4 linked regions of the Schizosaccharomyces pombe genome follow. Changing the gene in region 3 together with the main gene of any one other region gives a genetic interaction. Each region holds a gene or a part of one and is shown on either strand. Other genes may lie near its edges. The genes, in order: utp16, tma20, tma22 and pnk1.

Region 1 (3,922 bases), 680 kb from region 3:
ATTCCTTAATATAAGACCAAACACTGTCTCTTATCATCTGTAACTCTAACAAATTGCTTTCATTGTTCCATTCTCTAACTTTCTCACTAAGAGTTTGAAGGCAAATCAGTCTTGTTGATGGTTTATATTTCGTTTTTTCACTAAAAATTTCATGGCATATTTTCCAACCTGTAGATGAGCTTCTAAGGCTACCAATAAAATCTGTAGCTTGTTGCTTTATTATTGGTCCTACAGAAGGATCTAATGCTGCTTCTACTGCGTTTTCGACATCCTGGGCCGACATGGCTGCAGAGGTGAAGGTCAACAATGCTTTGAAGTGACAAAATTTTTGTGGTGCTAAAAAGCGAAGTTTGCCTAGTGCAAGTAGTCGAAAGTACAAACCATCTCAGAAATTTATATGCAAATATTTTATAATTATAAGTAGTAAATGTTCATACACTAGACAATTAATAATATATTTATGCAAATTTTGGCCTTATGAGCTATAGCTACTGATATCTATAATATCTATGATGTACGAAACGTTACATGAGCGAATTTCCTCTAGTGCATGGCAATAAATCCTTGATACAACTTTAATTAACTCATGTTTGTCTAAAGTGTTTATTTTTAAAAATACTATGTTAAACATTTACCAAAAAAACAGCCGTAAACTGCACTTAGCATGTCCAAAGCTTCAAATAATGAATGTTTTAGAACCCAGACAACCTTTTCCCAACCAATATTATTAATAAACAAAAAAGTAAACCCTTATATTAACAGAAAATGCAATGCTTGTGCCTGACTTTCAATTTACAGCGAATGTGTTGCCAAATAGAGAAAGGAAAATTAATAAGTCAAGGGACGTCGTCTTTTAGACGCCCGGGGAACTGATTGTCGATTTATCCAATCCCGTTTACGCTGTGACAGTTTCTTTTCATAGTTCGGCGCTAGTAAAGGGTCATTTGTTTCTTTAAGAACGCTCACTTTAAAATCACCTTTACGAAATGAACGAGTACGTTTTTTAGGAATTTCGTTATTAGGAAAAACAATTTTATGTCCTTTTGGAGTATATAGGTCAAGGCTTGCTTCGTCAACCTTTTCTTCGATTTCCGTGGTACTATTAATTTCTTCAACTTCAGCTGCCTCAAGAATAGCCAAATCCAACTTTGATGCGCTTACCCGTTGGGCATTTCTTTCACGATTTCTTTCATTTTGCAGTCTACGTTTTTCTCTTTCAGCTTTTCGAAGCCTAAAATGTGTTAAAAATAATACTATCAAAAGCAAGGAAACGAAATGAGCAGTCGAACTTTTATCAAACAAATTATTATTCTGTCTCAAACCAAAACAAATAGTATTTTTAAGTGTTTCCCTCATTCCGTTTATTAAAACTTACTGTAATTCATTCCCTTTCAGACGTTGAAGTCTCTTTTTTACCTCATCGCTGCTGCTCTTCAGCGAAACTTCTTCAGGTGCTTCATCAGAATCACTGTCAGATGATTGATTTTGAGAGTAGTGTGAGGCTTCATTATCTTCAATTTCCGCTTTCAACAAATCATTTGGTTTGTTTAAATTTGAAAATGAAGGACCTTTGCTTGGGGCAGTCAATCTTGCCATTCTAGTATTTGACAAATTTTCAATTTTCGAATAAGTAATGCAACAAAATGTCTTTATCAGAAGTTTATACCTTAACAGACAAGTTTTGGATTTTAATACTATAAAACGAAGACTATTAAAGGATTTGAAACTTTTTTGACCTGAATTGGTGTAGGAGGAGGATAACTGGCAATGCGAGTGAAACTTCTTAATGCCACCAAAATGGCAGTGAACAAAATGGATAGGATAGGTACTTTCCTGAGTCTTACAAAATTTATCAATAAATAATTTATTTAAAGTAAGATACGTTGCAATTATAGCACTAGATTTTAACCCTTTAATGCTGGTAAATAAGAAGAAGAAAGTAATTTCAATTTTCGTTAATTAAATGATTTAAAGGCTCGCATACTTTCTTTTTAGTATCATAATTTTTCTAGACGATTGCATTTAAAGCTGTTAAACTAATTGACTTTTGGCAAAATCATTAGCAGGTTAATCTCTCTAGCACAGTATATAGTCGTATTACTATTCAAAATGTTTAGTGGTTTCCAATGAATTAACGTTTCTAATATAATCAATTTGCAAAACAATAATAGAAAGAAATATATGCAACTTTGATCTATGGTAAATCATATGATGTTTATGTTATTTGTTGAAATGAAAAACCAAACAATTTTCTGACCAAAAGGTCTCTCTTTCCATCAACTAACTTACTTATGCGAACAAGTTGAATGTAAAAGATCAACAGAAATATCGTTTAGTCTCGTTAAATCCAATTACGAAATGCTGTAATCACGGACATTGAAAGCAAGGAGATGGGACATTAAAAAGACCAACGCACGGAAAACATAAGACACGACCGAATTTTGTTTTGGGTCTTTTAGAGCCAGATTTTCTGTTCTTTGTATAGCTATTGTCACAGTTAAATAAAACATGACTGCGGAAAATGCCACATTATTAGAACCAGTTTTGGGAAAGGATGAGATAGGATGGATGTTCGTTCAAGAATATTATACATATTTAAATAAAGAACCCAATCGTCTTCATGTAGGTCGTCATAATTTACCAAAAGTTTTTTTTTCTTCAACTTGTGAACCGTACTAACTGTAATACAGTGTTTCTATACTAAAAAGTCAACTTTAATTCACGGAGACGAAGGCGAGAGTATTAGTCTTTGTCATGGACAACAGGTATGCTTTAACACAATTCTTATATGTAAAGTTTTTGAGGTTGTGATATTCTGCTTGCGATTTTCGAAACTCTATGATCGTTGTCTTGCCCAATAGTCATTTTATTAACGTGTTAGGAAATTCATAACAAGATATTGGACTTGGACTTTCAAAATTGCAAAGTACTTATTTCAAACGTTGACAGTTTGGCTTCTTCGAATGGTGGCATTGTCATCCAGGTCCTGGGTGAAATGTCTAATAAGGGGAAATTATCCAGAAAATTTGCTCAAACATTTTTCCTTGCAGAACAACCAAATGGTTATTTTGTTTTAAACGATATTTTCCGTTTTTTGCGTGAAGATGTTGAGGAAGAAGAGGAGTCACCTGATGCTGTTGAAAAAGAGAAAAAAGATGTTGCTTCTGAACCTTACGTAAATGGCGTGCAATCTCAAGAACATTTACCTTCTGCAAAAGAAGAAGGCCATTACCAGGATCCAGCTGCTACAGAAAATAATTTTGCCACAGCCGCTCTTATATCAAATGAGACCGACAGTCTAAATCAAGCTACTTTGGCTGTTCCTGAAGAACCCGTTATCCAAGTTACGGAAGCCTCAGTCCCAAGTTTTGTTTCTCAGCAGGAAAATCAGCTTCAAGATGAAGCTCTGACTTCAAACTCGAAGAATGCTGATGCTATAGGGGCTAGCGATGCAAATGTTGCTACAGCACCTAAATCTTGGGCTGATCTCATAGCTCGTAATCATCCTGATGTGAAATCCCAAGCATCAGTTAGTTCTACTGCGTCTACAACTGGTCAAACAGTTAAAGGTGTTAATGCTGACCAAACTCAGCAGCCAACAGCGCCGTACACTCAGAGTAATGAACTGTTGGAGACATCTGTATTCGTCAAGAACATTCCTCCCGAAACATCTGATGTGTCATTGAAATCTGCTATGAGCATTTTTGGACCAGTCAAGGCTATTGAGTTTGCTCGTCGCAAAGGCACCGCATATGTTGATTTTGTCAACCATGAATGCGTGCAATTGGCTTTGAACAAAAAAACTTTGCAAATTAACAATGCCACGCTGAACATAGAAGAACGACGCCGTCTTTTTTCCGGTAAATTCAACAAATCGGGAGATAAGAAGTCCAACGATAATTATAATGGAATGAAAAGGAAT
Region 2 (3,193 bases), 560 kb from region 3:
GTCAGCCGCTCAAAATATATGAACACCGAACTAATAATGTTTTAATGGATTCTGGAAGAGGAAAACTATTACAAAAAATGGTAGCTGATGCAATCACTGAAGAAGGTTATGATGATTTTGAGACCATAGTTACTATTAATCATTTAGAAAACAAAATCGCTTCTGCTCGATTACTTAAGTTGGATGATGAGTTTTTAGTAACAAGCGAAGTTTATGTCAGACTATTAATGCATCATGGTCTTTGGCAAAAATTGGAGGAATTTTTAGGAGAGCTACGAACTCAAACAAAATGTTCAATTAAATTATCAGGAAGAGAAGTTGTTGCAAAAATGTTAGTGGTTTTACGACAAGCAGTACAAACTGATAATGAATTTGATCGTGCAAACAAATTAATAGAAAAATACGCATCAACCTGAAAAAAATTGAGGCTATTTTAAATTTGACTTTTCTTTCTTGCATTCTGTTTAAGTCTAATACAATACTCATTGGAAAAATCTGAATAGTTTTGAAAGCAAAATAATGCATTAATTTTATTCTTTTAATGTCTTATACTATAGATGTTATTCTAAAATAGTCTTCCACTGTGAATATTAGTTAACATTACATTCCAATAAGCAAGAGGAAATTATAAATGGTTTAAAATGTAAATCACATACCAAGTTGTCGCCAAGATAATGCACATTTTCTATGCCGATTCCTTTATTAGTCTCTTTCCTAAACAATTCAAGCATGTTAGTTAATAGTTCAAGTTATGAGTGTCAATAGTATATTACATTTCTTTAGCAGACATTTTTGTAAGCCCAATTGCAGCAGGGGCTTCCTTTCCCTCAGCTGTAACAATCACATATTGATCTTTTTCGATGTCATCAGGCAAATTGCCGCCTTTGGAAACCAAGCCAGGAATCATAATATTGGCACCCGAGAGAAGGAATTTGATAGCTCCTCTGTCTACTCGAACTTGAGTAAAGGCATCCGGACCTAGGCGTATTAGTATATATTTGAACTAAACACAGATATGTTGTTGTCGATTCTGACCAGCTAGACAAAAACCAGAACTCCAATCAAACGTTGCGGTTACGTTAGCTTATACTCACATTTATGAACAAGACGAAGAGAAGGAATGATAGGGCCGTCGAAGTGCTGGAAAAGGATAATTTCGCCATTCAAAGTATACAAAAATAAACGATCCTCACTTAAACAATATCAGTACGACATACTAAAAATCACGGATGCTGATAAGAACGAACCATTTTATTTGAGTTAGTTGTGATTTTTTGGGAATTAACTCATCGATAACTTGTTTTAAGTTAGGATAAGCTTGTACTAGTTTTGCTTTTATTCCTCTTTGAATAGAAGACTTGATTGGAGTAGTTCCCTTTATATCTTCTCTAGAGTTAAATCTGTTGAGGTTAGCAATCATCCTACAAAATTATAAATCCAATTTAGAGCAATACCGTTTGAACATATTATTGAGTATATAGGAGCTGCAGACCATTGCTACAATAAGTTACTAGGTTGTAGCCGCGGTCTCCTCTCGGATGATCCGCGGTGTTGCCGATTACCACCTCGAGGGTTACAAACGTTAGATATATTCATTCATATTTGTGCACGTTTTTGTCTTCTAACAGTAAAAGCCAACTGGTTAAGAGAAGACATAAATCTAGCATATTATTTATTGAGTAATTGTACACTATAGAGATCCAGAATAATATAAGATGACTTCGGAAGCGCCCAGGGTAAAAAATAAGAACCCAGCACCCATCCAAATCTCAGCTGAACAATTGCTCCGAGAAGCTGTAGAACGACAAGATGTGGCGTTTGTTCCTCCAAAAATTAATATCACTGATCTTGAGGAGCTTCAAGAATTTCAAGGTCGAAAACGTAAAGAATTTGAAGATGCCATTCGACGGAATCGTCTCGCTATGGGCCATTGGATGCGATATGGTCAGTGGGAATTAGACCAAAAAGAATTTGCGAGAGCTCGCTCTGTTTTTGAAAGAGCTTTGGATGTAGATTCTACTTATATACCGTTATGGCTGAAATATATTGAATGCGAAATGAAGAATCGAAATATCAACCATGCCAGAAATTTATTTGATCGTGCTGTTACACAGCTTCCCCGTGTTGATAAACTATGGTACAAATACGTATATATGGAGGAAATGTTAGGAAATATCACCGGTTGTAGACAAGTATTTGAAAGATGGCTTAAGTGGGAGCCTGATGAAAACTGTTGGATGAGTTATATTCGAATGGAGAGGAGGTACCATGAAAACGAACGGGCTCGTGGCATATATGAACGATTTGTCGTTGTGCATCCTGAAGTAACGAATTGGCTTCGTTGGGCTCGTTTTGAAGAAGAATGCGGAAATGCTGCAAACGTTCGCCAAGTCTATTTGGCTGCTATAGATGCTCTTGGTCAGGAGTTTCTGAATGAACGGTTTTTTATTGCTTTTGCAAAATTCGAAATTCGTCAAAAGGAATATGAACGAGCTCGCACCATTTTCAAATATGCAATTGATTTTATGCCCCGATCAAAATCTATGGAACTATATAAGGAATACACTCATTTTGAAAAACAATTTGGAGATCATTTGGGCGTTGAGTCTACTGTGCTCGATAAGCGTCGATTACAATACGAAAAGCTATTGAAGGATTCTCCTTATGACTATGACACTTGGCTTGATTTGCTGAAGCTCGAAGAAAGTGCAGGGGATATTAATACTATTCGCGAAACCTACGAAAAAGCTATTGCTAAGGTTCCTGAAGTAGTTGAAAAGAACGCATGGAGACGTTACGTTTATATTTGGTTAAACTATTGCTTATTTGAAGAGATAGATGTGAAGGACGTTGACCGCGCAAGAAAGGTTTACCAAGAAGCTCTCAAGCTTATACCCCATAAAAAATTTACATTTGCCAAATTATGGCTCATGTATGCAATGTTTGAGCTTAGGCAACGTAAGATTGATGTTGCTAGAAAAACGTTGGGTCGTGCGTTGGGAATGTGTCCAAAACCAAAATTATTCCGAGGTTATATTGAATTCGAAGACGCAATTAAGCAGTTTGACAGGTGTCGAATTCTTTATGAAAAATGGATTCTTTATGATCCCGAGGCTTGTGCTCCCTGGCTTGGTTACGCTGCCTTAGAGACTAAGCTTGGAGATAGTGATCGTGCTCGCGCTTTATATAATTT
Region 3 (3,234 bases):
CATAATTCCTCAACTTCGTTGCTTTTGGCAATGTTCGAATGGTGAAATCGTCAACTTCCCCATCAGCATTGCTTAATGCGCCTCAACGCAAATGACTCAAAAACTTCAATAACGAAATACGCATTCGGATCTCTTAAGTGTTTGTATCGATATTAAAATCCTGTCCCCTGAAAGTTAAGTACACTGAAGAACTAGCTACTGAGTAATGTTATTATCACGGTTCTTCTTAGTTAATAATGAAGCTACAACTATTTGCATAGTAAATCAATTTTATCAAATTTAAAAAGGTGACAATGATCACAGCATTCTTTGTAGAATCGATTACTTTGTCAAAATATAATTTATTCCTACATTCAAGACAACATTTTCTTAATGAACTACTAAGCTGCCTTATTTTGTATGCTGATAACGTCCAAAAAGGCGTAAAGAAACACAATTTCAATTTTTAACTGCTAAGAAATTCATGGCATACACAACGAATGCTAATACTACTCTATAGCCTTGGCAATGAAATGTAAGTAAACAAATGGTGACTTCAAATCATCATACTAATACAACAGGCAATAAATTGTAAAATATTGATAATTAGGCATTTTTTATATAGAAACATTAAAAAACATGAGTCTCAATAAATTATTAAAAACCGGTATCCTAACTGTGCAACCATTTAACAGAAAATTAGGTTGTACAAGATTGTACAAGACAGTTTATGATAAAATAGCCCCAAAAATAGCATACTTAGTAGTATTTTTAAAAAATAAAAATTAAGATTACTGCTTCTTCTTAGATTTCGTATCTTCGACAATTTTAATATTGTCTTCCGGAACCTCTTTAAACTTTTCCAAAATAAAATCAAATATATCATAATTCAAATCACCCTGTACAACAATTTCATCCTTCTTATCAGCTGTTTTAGTGACACTGGCTCCGGTCGCGAACTTGTTGGCCAACATCTTAGCAGCTTTTTTCGTTTCGATCCCAAATGCGTCAAGACCTTGAACTGTGGTGACTCTCTTTCTTTTAGTTCTTTCAATGGTTTTTATCAAAACCTTGGATGCCATACGTTTGGCTTCTTCACGCTCAACGCGCTTTTCCTCCTTCGTCAATTTTGCCGGTTGTTCTTCTGCATTAGAATCTTTAGTTCCGCTAACATTCAGAGTGTTTTCAAGGTCTTTGCTTAAGTCTTGCTCACCGTACAATTTATCATAAACGTCCGGGTGAGATGATTTAAGCCATTCTTTACATTTTTTTAAAGTGCCCTCAAATTCGCAGTACTACAACGCATTCATAGTTAATATAATTATAAAACAAGTTGTTTATTACGTACTTCCACGGGCAATGTACAAACATCGCAGTATAATACTGATTTTAACTTCGGGATGGTTTGTGAAGCCATTATTTGAGTTTCTTGCAGTATAGGTTAAAGTAGAGACTACCTGGGGGAACGAAAATAGAAAGCGAGATTCAAAGAGGCGAAGCCTAAATATACTATGAGAGTAAAATATGCTTAAAAGCTGTAAGTTATTCGTTAAATAAAAAGTAATTCACATCTCAAGTCGTTTTAAATTTTAGAATATAATGTTATGCTGCTGAAACCGTAAACGGATTTTTAGGACTTTTGTTTACATATCAAAACAATGATATGATAACAAGCTGTTCTTTATAAAGAGTAATAAAAATAACGGCGCTGTAACATTGTAAACTAGATTCAACATGATAAAAAGCTACTACAAAATAAGTTGCGTAAAAAGATAGGAAATTAATTATTCAATTATTGTACAAATAAATACACACTTCGCAGCGTGAGCTAGTTCATAACTTTAAATTCATCAAGACTTCGTGAGTATCCTTAATCTTCAAGGGGCTGACCATAACAGAATGAATAGGAGAGCATTTCTTATCCAAATCATAATAAATGGAAGGAGATACAGCTCTTCTCTTCGATAAGTCGATTATTTCTTCGCCCCATCGAGTTCGCTTTTTCGAGGATGGGGTACGGGATCTGGAGTGATTGCTATTCGGAGTTGACATTTCTGTATCCTTAAAAAATACAGAACTGGAAAGCAGAGGAGATATGGGCATCTCATTCGAAGGCTTAGTAGATGGATTGTCCGTATTACTACTGTCCTCTGCAGATGACTCAATTACATCAGAGTTCTCAACAGCTTTCAAAGATCCTGATGGTGCGAGAACATTACCATTTGCACCTGTTATAGAACTGTAAAACGGTACACCCGGACCTACCATTGCAGGCGAAGCAGCTCTAGAAACAAAGGATGATGATTTTTTAGGCTCGAAAAACATCTTGGAAAATTCCGATTCACTACGGATTTCCAACTCCAGAGGAGATGATTCTTCATACAAGGCACTGGCTACGCGTTGGAACATTTTCGGTTTGGGAAGCAAAGACTTTCTTCGTAACACAGGACACAAAGATTTCGAAATTCTTCCAGAATGAGAGGGACTACAAAGGTCCTTTAAATTTTTTACTTCAATATGTTTATTTGGAGTCTTAGAAAACGAACGCTGATCCAAATTTTCATTGTAACTCAACTGCCTAGTTCCTCTAGCCATGGCAGCGGACGGCAAGTCTGTTGTAGAGTCTGATATGTACTCGGTATCATCATCTTCCATATCGGTCAGTTCTGAATCAAGTGGAAACATAGATTCATCAGTTTCGTCGCTCATTGAGTAATTTACATATCTTAATCCGATTGACGGTGAAGCTTCAGGAGAAGGGGCTGTAAAAGTTTGATGCAAGCTTGAGCACCTAATACTTTTCTCTCTGTTTCTTACAAAAAAGTTCAGACTTGAATTTGATGTTGCTGTGGTCGGTTTTCCAGGTGTTGGATGAAATGAATCCATTTCGACAGTATATCCCTACAAAATACCACAAAGACTTAAAAATAATATAAAGGCCCTATATTAAATAATCATTCTATATTTTATTGCATATGCTTTACAATTGAAAAAAATTCGTATTGACGAGGTGACGATAGGCTTCAGTTAAGATCTCGGGAGCAGTACAAAACATAAGCTTAAACATAGTTAATTCCAAAAGAGGATTCAAATCACCATTCTCATAGTAAAGCTTAACAGAAATTAACTTAATCAATAAATGAGAATTGTATAAGCCGCTTCTTTATACATAGTAAATATTAGGACAGACTATATTCAAGTAAGGATATTGTTGATACACTCATCAATTTTAATTTGCTTCAGAGATGTAAAGCA
Region 4 (5,988 bases), on a different chromosome or scaffold from region 3:
CATCAACGAAGTTGAGACAACCATCGTGGGGAACGAAAGCGGTAACTTTCTTACCATTCTTGATCAACTGAACACGAACACATTTACGAATAGCAGAGTTAGGTTGCTTAGCTTCTACACCAATCTTTTCGACAACGATACCCTTAGCATGAGACGATCCACCGAAAGGTGATGACTTGTAAGCGGTTCCCAATAAGCGCTTCTTGTAATGAGCATCGGCCCAACGCTCCTCACGGCGATGATTGCGAAGCTTACGAGCGGCGTTCAATCCTGCGGGTTTTCCCATTTTGTAGTATAGAGGTTGCGGCGAACTGTGTGTTGGATTTAGGTGAACTTAGCTTTATGTCCAAAACAGTCACAAACCCTACCCTTCTTATATAATATAGTACGCAACGCTTCACTAAGTAAATTGTTGATGCCCATACTTACTAAAATTTTACTACATTACAAAAAAGAAAAAACATCTAAAACAAAAAACATACGTCTTTTTGATTATTTTGGAAAAAGGAGTTGCAAGTACTTTGCAAAAGGTTTGGTGTGTAATATTTAAGCTCAATTGGTATTTATTTGTTTCGTACTTGGAATACTTCCAAGATATTTAGTCAAAGTTTTGTGAGATTTAAAAAAAAAAAAAGATTTGATATGACTGAACTTATAAATTCCGAGCCAACACTCTTTTTGTTCCCGAATAAAGAGGATTCAAAGCAATTGGTTGAAAAAGCTATTGAGGTTTTCTCAAATATAAAAATCCCATCTACAAGTCCCATCCAAACAATTGTCACAAAAGGATTAGATAATTGGCAAATATATAACCAACTAGCATTAGCTGCCAAGTATGCATTAGATGATCTCCCTCAAGTTGATGTTGAAAACGAAGACGAAGAAGAAGATAGCATTACTTCTTTCCAGGATGAGGATGATGAAACAAGTCATCAGGAACTCTCTGACAATAGTGAAATGAACAATCGGGATGATGCTGATGATGAATTTTTAGGGTTCTCTGGTCCAGAAAATCTAGAAGATGTCGACGAAAGTTCTGCCGAAGATGTTTCAGGAGATGAAGCTGAAATTATGAATGAAGAAGGACAACAAATCGAACAGAAAAAAGACGCATTTGGACTTAATGATGGTTTTTTTGATATTGATAATTTTAACAAGCAAACCTTAGCTTTAGAAGAGGAAGCAGTCGAAGAGGGTGTCCTCGGCGATGAAGATGACGGTATTGACTTGTTAATGGATCCCGATGAGAATATGGAAGACTCTGAAGATGAATCAAATGGTCCTCAGGCTGACTCCATTATGTACGAAGATTTTTTTGGTCCAAAAACAGCGGCCGGTCGCCGTGAACTAAAAAAGAAAAAGGCCGAATCCAAAAGAAAAAGAACAAGTAAACCGGATTTCAAAAATGATGTGCAACAAAATGTTATTGAAGAAAATAATGAGAGCTCTGACAATGAGTATGCTACCTTTGATCGAGTGAAGAAAGATTTATTTGCTAGTGACGAAGAAGACGATGTTTCAGCTGATCAATTATCTTCTTATGAGCGCGATAAAGCCCGTTTGACTCAGCAAATTCGTGAGCTCGAGGCTGAAAACGTTGCCAAGAAGTCCTGGACCATGATGGGGGAGGCAACGTCTAAAGGACGACCTTCTAATTCACTGTTAGACGTTGATTTGGAATTTGAAACTGGTGCTAAACCTGTCCCTGTACAAACGGAAGAGACTACTGAGACATTAGAAGATTTAATTAAAAACCGAATTATTTCCAAAACATTTGATGATGTACCTAAACGCGCGCCAGTTGCTGTTACTGAATTTCGACCAAGCGAATTATTCGAGTTAAACGAAAATAAGTCTCAGCGTTCTTTAGCAGAAGAATATGAAGAAGAATTCCTTAAAAAGAGCAACGCCGACACATATAAGAGTGAAGCTGATAAAAAGAAAGAAAAAGAACATGAAGAAATCAAGGCATTGTTTTCGGAAGTCAGCCGCACTTTAGATTCTCTTGCTTCTTGGCATTATGTTCCCCCTCCTCCTGAGTCTACTGTTGAAATTGTTTCTAATGCACCCACTTTAGCAATGGAGGACGTTCAGCCAACTGCTGCCTCTGACACTATGGCATTGGCTCCTCAAGAAGTTTATAAACCGTCTAATGAGAATCGTGAAGGTGAAACTATTACTCGGTCAGGTATCGCCATTTCATCGACTGAAATGGACCACCAACAAAAGCAAGCACGCCGCAGGCGGGTGCGTAGAAAACATGCTGAGAAACGTAAGCAAATGGCTGAGAAAAGAAGGAATTCCGGTACTGAACAAGTCGTTCGTCAATTATCAAAATCGAATGTTGAGGTCATTGGTAAAGGAGGTGAGCGCAAAAAGGTTGCAAGTAATTCAAACAAATATCATCCGATTGTTTCTTCAAATCAGCTAAAGCTTTGAAGATAAATTTCGGTGTTAAGTGTGCTAGTCATAATTTTTATAAACGTTTGGTTTTAGTGGGATCAATAACTATATATTTTTGAAATTAATGCAATTTAATAATTTCTTAGATATCATTCGTATTATTCGTACCAATAATTCCATGTATCTTCATAGTCTTTAAGGCATTTAAAAGGAACTTCTTCAACATTTGTAAAACCTTCTTCTACTGTTGGCATTTGAAAACGAGATTTGAAAGAATTAAACGCTATCTCGGGAAGTTGTTTTTGCTAGAATTGGTTAGGAATTCTTCTAAGTCTTTCTAATGCTCCAACAGGTAACTTACGTTATGGTGAATGTAACGGAAAACGTTGTTGTGTCTGGCAAGTTCCTCAGATGACTGAAGATGAATGCAGCGTATAGGGATCTCAAATTCTTGGGCTATGTCAATCCACATTTTTCGTGATTCTATTGTAGGGTTTGTGTTGTCTGAAATCGCGTAAGTCGTTGAAATGATCGAGTACATACCTATGACAACCGATTTTTCTTTTTTAAGTGCCTCTATGGCAGCCTTGATGCATTTTGATTTCGTTTTTAAGATGTCTTGATTTACCCTTTCGTATCCTTGAGTGACAATCTGAGATTCAGCTAAAGTACTCTTCCCAGAAGAAGGAAACCCAACTAAAACAACAATTTCTTGATGCTCGGATTTTTTAAAATGGTATGGATGTGAAGAAGAATTTCTTACAAGGTAATTCTTTGGATGAAATGATTCAAAGTTTGGAGGCACAAATGAATGCCCCAAGAAAAATTGCTCGGGCGTCTCAAATTTAATCCCAATGTTTTCAGCAAACTTTAAATCAGTTGAATTATGATCACCCGGACGGCCTGCAGCATCACCTACGTATTTGATGAAAGATAAATCTAAAGGGTGAAAAATGTTAATAGGCCTTGATAAATTACAAGCGTCAACTCACCAATTGAACGGTTCACGTCTTTTAAAAAGGAATTCCACATTCCTGTCAATGGTTTTCTAAACTTATCTTTCAAGATGGCAGCATACAATACAATAGGTAGATCTAATGACTCAAAAATAGCACGAATCTTCATCTGAAAGGTATGTCCGGCAGAAGGTTTTCTTGGAATTCCGTTTTGATTACTGAAAATAACAAGAGAATAATTGTCTTGGTATAAAGCCTTCAATTTTGGGACAACGCTTGGATGCCACCAGGTCCAGTCAGCTGCATCTTTTGAAAATACTCTACCAGATTTAGTTTTTATGAGCGTTCCATCTAAATCAAATGCAATAAATTTTTTAGTCTTTTTTAGTTTTCCATACTTTGCTATGTATAATGAATCGGTGATGCTCCATTGAATTTCTATTTTCTGTTGAAGGCATGTCGAGGATGAATCAGAATCTTTGTTTTGAGAGCCGTACTTTTTTGAGGATTTAGACGATTTTTCAAAATATGAAGTTAAAGATTCCTGGGGGGGAGACTTTCTTTTTTTCGACGACATCGCGATTGACGAAATACTAAATGGGACTTGGTAATTGAGTTAGCTATATTATAATTGCATAGCAATGAAAATGGGTGGTTTCAATAACATACTTAAAAATGGATAACAGATGAAAATTTTATTTTTCGCTCTATTGAATTTTCAATTGTTTTTGATCAATTACATAAAATGCCTCATATACAACAATTAGTGAGAAGATATATTATATCATATAGTCCTTAATCGAAGATTTAATATGTTTACTGACTTGAAAATAATTCTTATTCGAAGAAATTTAGACAATAAATAACAAGAAAATTCTTTAATTTATTCGTCTAATTTATTATTTGGCAACCATTCAAAGATTTCACAAATAACATATTTGAGACCTACATCTTATTCATTAACAATTGCATATCTCGTTATTTACGAACATTAGTTTTTTTTTTTTGGTATCGTTTAAAATTAAACCGTTTATTTTTAAACAAAAAATGAAGGACATCGGCAATATTTTGTTTTTATGTATGAGCTTTTTTTTGCATTATTTTTTCGTTTGTCATTTATCTTTTTTAGTAGCTGATCTGGAATTTAAAAACAAAAATTTCCATAATTAATTAATTTAAATATTTCGTATATTTTTATATAAACATTATGGCTTCTACTGCATCAGCCAAGAATTTACTGATCGCAAAATCAGTATTCCACAAGATCCATATCGACAGAAAAGAAACCTGCATACAAGGCTAATAAATATCTTTGATTGTGTTTAATATAAAAAATTGATAAATTCTCGTAAAACAATTTAATTTTAATAATTTATTTGTGCTAAATTTTTATCATGTTGTGGAAATCTCCTTTACTATCAATCATTTAATAAAGTATTGCTAAAGAAAGTAACTTTATAACAGTATTACCCTATGTAAGATTCACAAATCCATCTTTATGCTGTATAAAATAAAAACATGCGATATTAAAAATATAAACCTGTTCCTTAGAAAATTTTATAAATTAATATAAGATTTTTTGTATACATTGAGTTACAAATTTTGTAGCAGATGTTGCGAATTAGTGCACATTGCAACCTGTACTTAACCAAAAACACTTTTCAGTCATGAGTGAATACACTACCCGTGAAGTTGGCGCTTTGAACACATTGGACTACCAAGTCTATGTTGAGAAAAATGGTACTCCTATCTCTTCTTGGCACGATATCCCCTTGTATGCCAATGCTGAGAAGACCATCTTGAACATGGTCGTTGAGATCCCTCGTTGGACTCAGGCTAAGCTTGAAATTACCAAGGAAGCTACCTTGAACCCTATCAAGCAAGATACTAAGAAGGGTAAGCTTCGTTTCGTTCGTAACTGCTTTCCTCACCACGGTTACATTTGGAACTACGGTGCTTTTCCTCAAACCTATGAGGATCCTAATGTTGTTCATCCTGAAACCAAGGCCAAGGGTGATAGCGATCCTCTCGATGTTTGTGAGATCGGTGAAGCTCGTGGCTACACCGGCCAAGTCAAGCAAGTTAAGGTCTTGGGTGTTATGGCCCTTCTTGACGAGGGTGAGACTGACTGGAAGGTTATTGTCATCGACGTTAATGACCCTTTAGCTCCTAAGCTTAATGATATTGAGGATGTTGAACGTCATATGCCTGGCTTAATCCGTGCTACTAACGAGTGGTTCCGCATTTACAAGATCCCCGATGGCAAGCCTGAAAATTCCTTTGCTTTCAGTGGTGAATGCAAGAACCGTAAGTATGCTGAAGAAGTTGTTCGTGAGTGCAATGAAGCTTGGGAGCGCCTTATTACCGGTAAGACTGATGCCAAGTCTGACTTTTCTTTGGTCAATGTTTCAGTCACTGGATCTGTTGCCAATGACCCTTCCGTTTCCAGCACTATTCCTCCTGCTCAAGAGCTCGCTCCTGCTCCTGTTGATCCCAGCGTTCACAAATGGTTCTACATTTCTGGCTCTCCTCTTTAAGTAGTAGTATCACACTATAATATAGAATATAGACTATATCTGCGACACTACATTTTTGACCGAAACAGGACTATATGCGATTATCGTAGTCA

What was found.
Region 1: mutations in tma22 (region 3) and utp16 together harm fitness more than expected from each alone (negative genetic interaction), as found in Schizosaccharomyces pombe (2 studies listed by BioGRID).
Region 2: mutations in tma22 (region 3) and tma20 together harm fitness less than expected from each alone (positive genetic interaction), as found in Schizosaccharomyces pombe (2 studies listed by BioGRID).
Region 4: mutations in tma22 (region 3) and pnk1 together harm fitness more than expected from each alone (negative genetic interaction), as found in Schizosaccharomyces pombe (2 studies listed by BioGRID).

Annotation. Positions count from the first base shown.
Region 1 is NC_003423.3:3,649,799-3,653,720, forward strand, and holds utp16 (U3 snoRNP-associated protein Utp16), read right to left. Parts: upstream 2,023-3,922; coding exon 1,985-2,022; intron 1,940-1,984; exon of another isoform or gene 1,919-1,939; coding exon 1,376-1,918; exon of another isoform or gene 1,232-1,375; coding exon 829-1,231; 3' UTR 563-828; downstream 1-562. Other genes in the region: karyopherin exportin-T Los1, read right to left, coding at 1-283; ubiquitin protease cofactor Nxt3, read left to right, coding at 2,509-2,622, 2,691-2,765, 2,882-3,922. UniProt on the Schizosaccharomyces pombe protein: Functions as part of the small subunit (SSU) processome, first precursor of the small eukaryotic ribosomal subunit that coordinates the first two steps of ribosome biogenesis in transcription of the primary transcript pre-RNA and pre-18S processing.
Region 2 is NC_003423.3:3,771,580-3,774,772, reverse strand, and holds tma20 (RNA-binding protein Tma20), read right to left. Parts: upstream 1,477-3,193; 5' UTR 1,466-1,476; coding exon 1,455-1,465; exon of another isoform or gene 1,401-1,454; coding exon 1,248-1,400; exon of another isoform or gene 1,193-1,247; coding exon 1,095-1,192; exon of another isoform or gene 979-1,094; coding exon 774-978; intron 715-773; coding exon 657-714; intron 636-656; exon of another isoform or gene 582-635; coding exon 561-581; 3' UTR 501-560; downstream 1-500. Other genes in the region: histone chaperone Hip1, read left to right, coding at 1-416; protein Cwf4, read left to right, coding at 1,716-3,193. UniProt on the Schizosaccharomyces pombe protein: Involved in translation.
Region 3 is NC_003423.3:4,333,781-4,337,014, reverse strand, and holds tma22 (mitochondrial translation initiation factor), read right to left. Parts: upstream 1,423-3,234; 5' UTR 1,397-1,422; coding exon 1,328-1,396; intron 1,275-1,327; coding exon 771-1,274; 3' UTR 535-770; downstream 1-534. Other genes in the region: vacuolar protein sorting receptor vps10, read right to left, coding at 1-3; protein Dbl6, read right to left, coding at 1,813-2,865.
Region 4 is NC_003424.3:2,135,503-2,141,490, forward strand, and holds pnk1 (DNA kinase/phosphatase Pnk1), read right to left. Parts: upstream 3,966-5,988; 5' UTR 3,937-3,965; coding exon 3,396-3,936; exon of another isoform or gene 3,373-3,395; intron 3,343-3,372; coding exon 2,947-3,342; intron 2,908-2,946; coding exon 2,765-2,907; intron 2,709-2,764; coding exon 2,562-2,708; 3' UTR 2,440-2,561; coding exon of another isoform or gene 643-2,439; 3' UTR 532-642; downstream 1-531. Other genes in the region: rps23 (40S ribosomal protein uS12), read right to left, coding at 1-286; mpp10 (U3 snoRNP-associated protein Mpp1), read left to right, coding at 643-2,439; ipp1 (inorganic pyrophosphatase), read left to right, coding at 5,027-5,896. UniProt on the Schizosaccharomyces pombe protein: Catalyzes the phosphorylation of DNA at 5'-hydroxyl termini and can dephosphorylate its 3'-phosphate termini. Has a role in the repair of breaks in single-stranded DNA.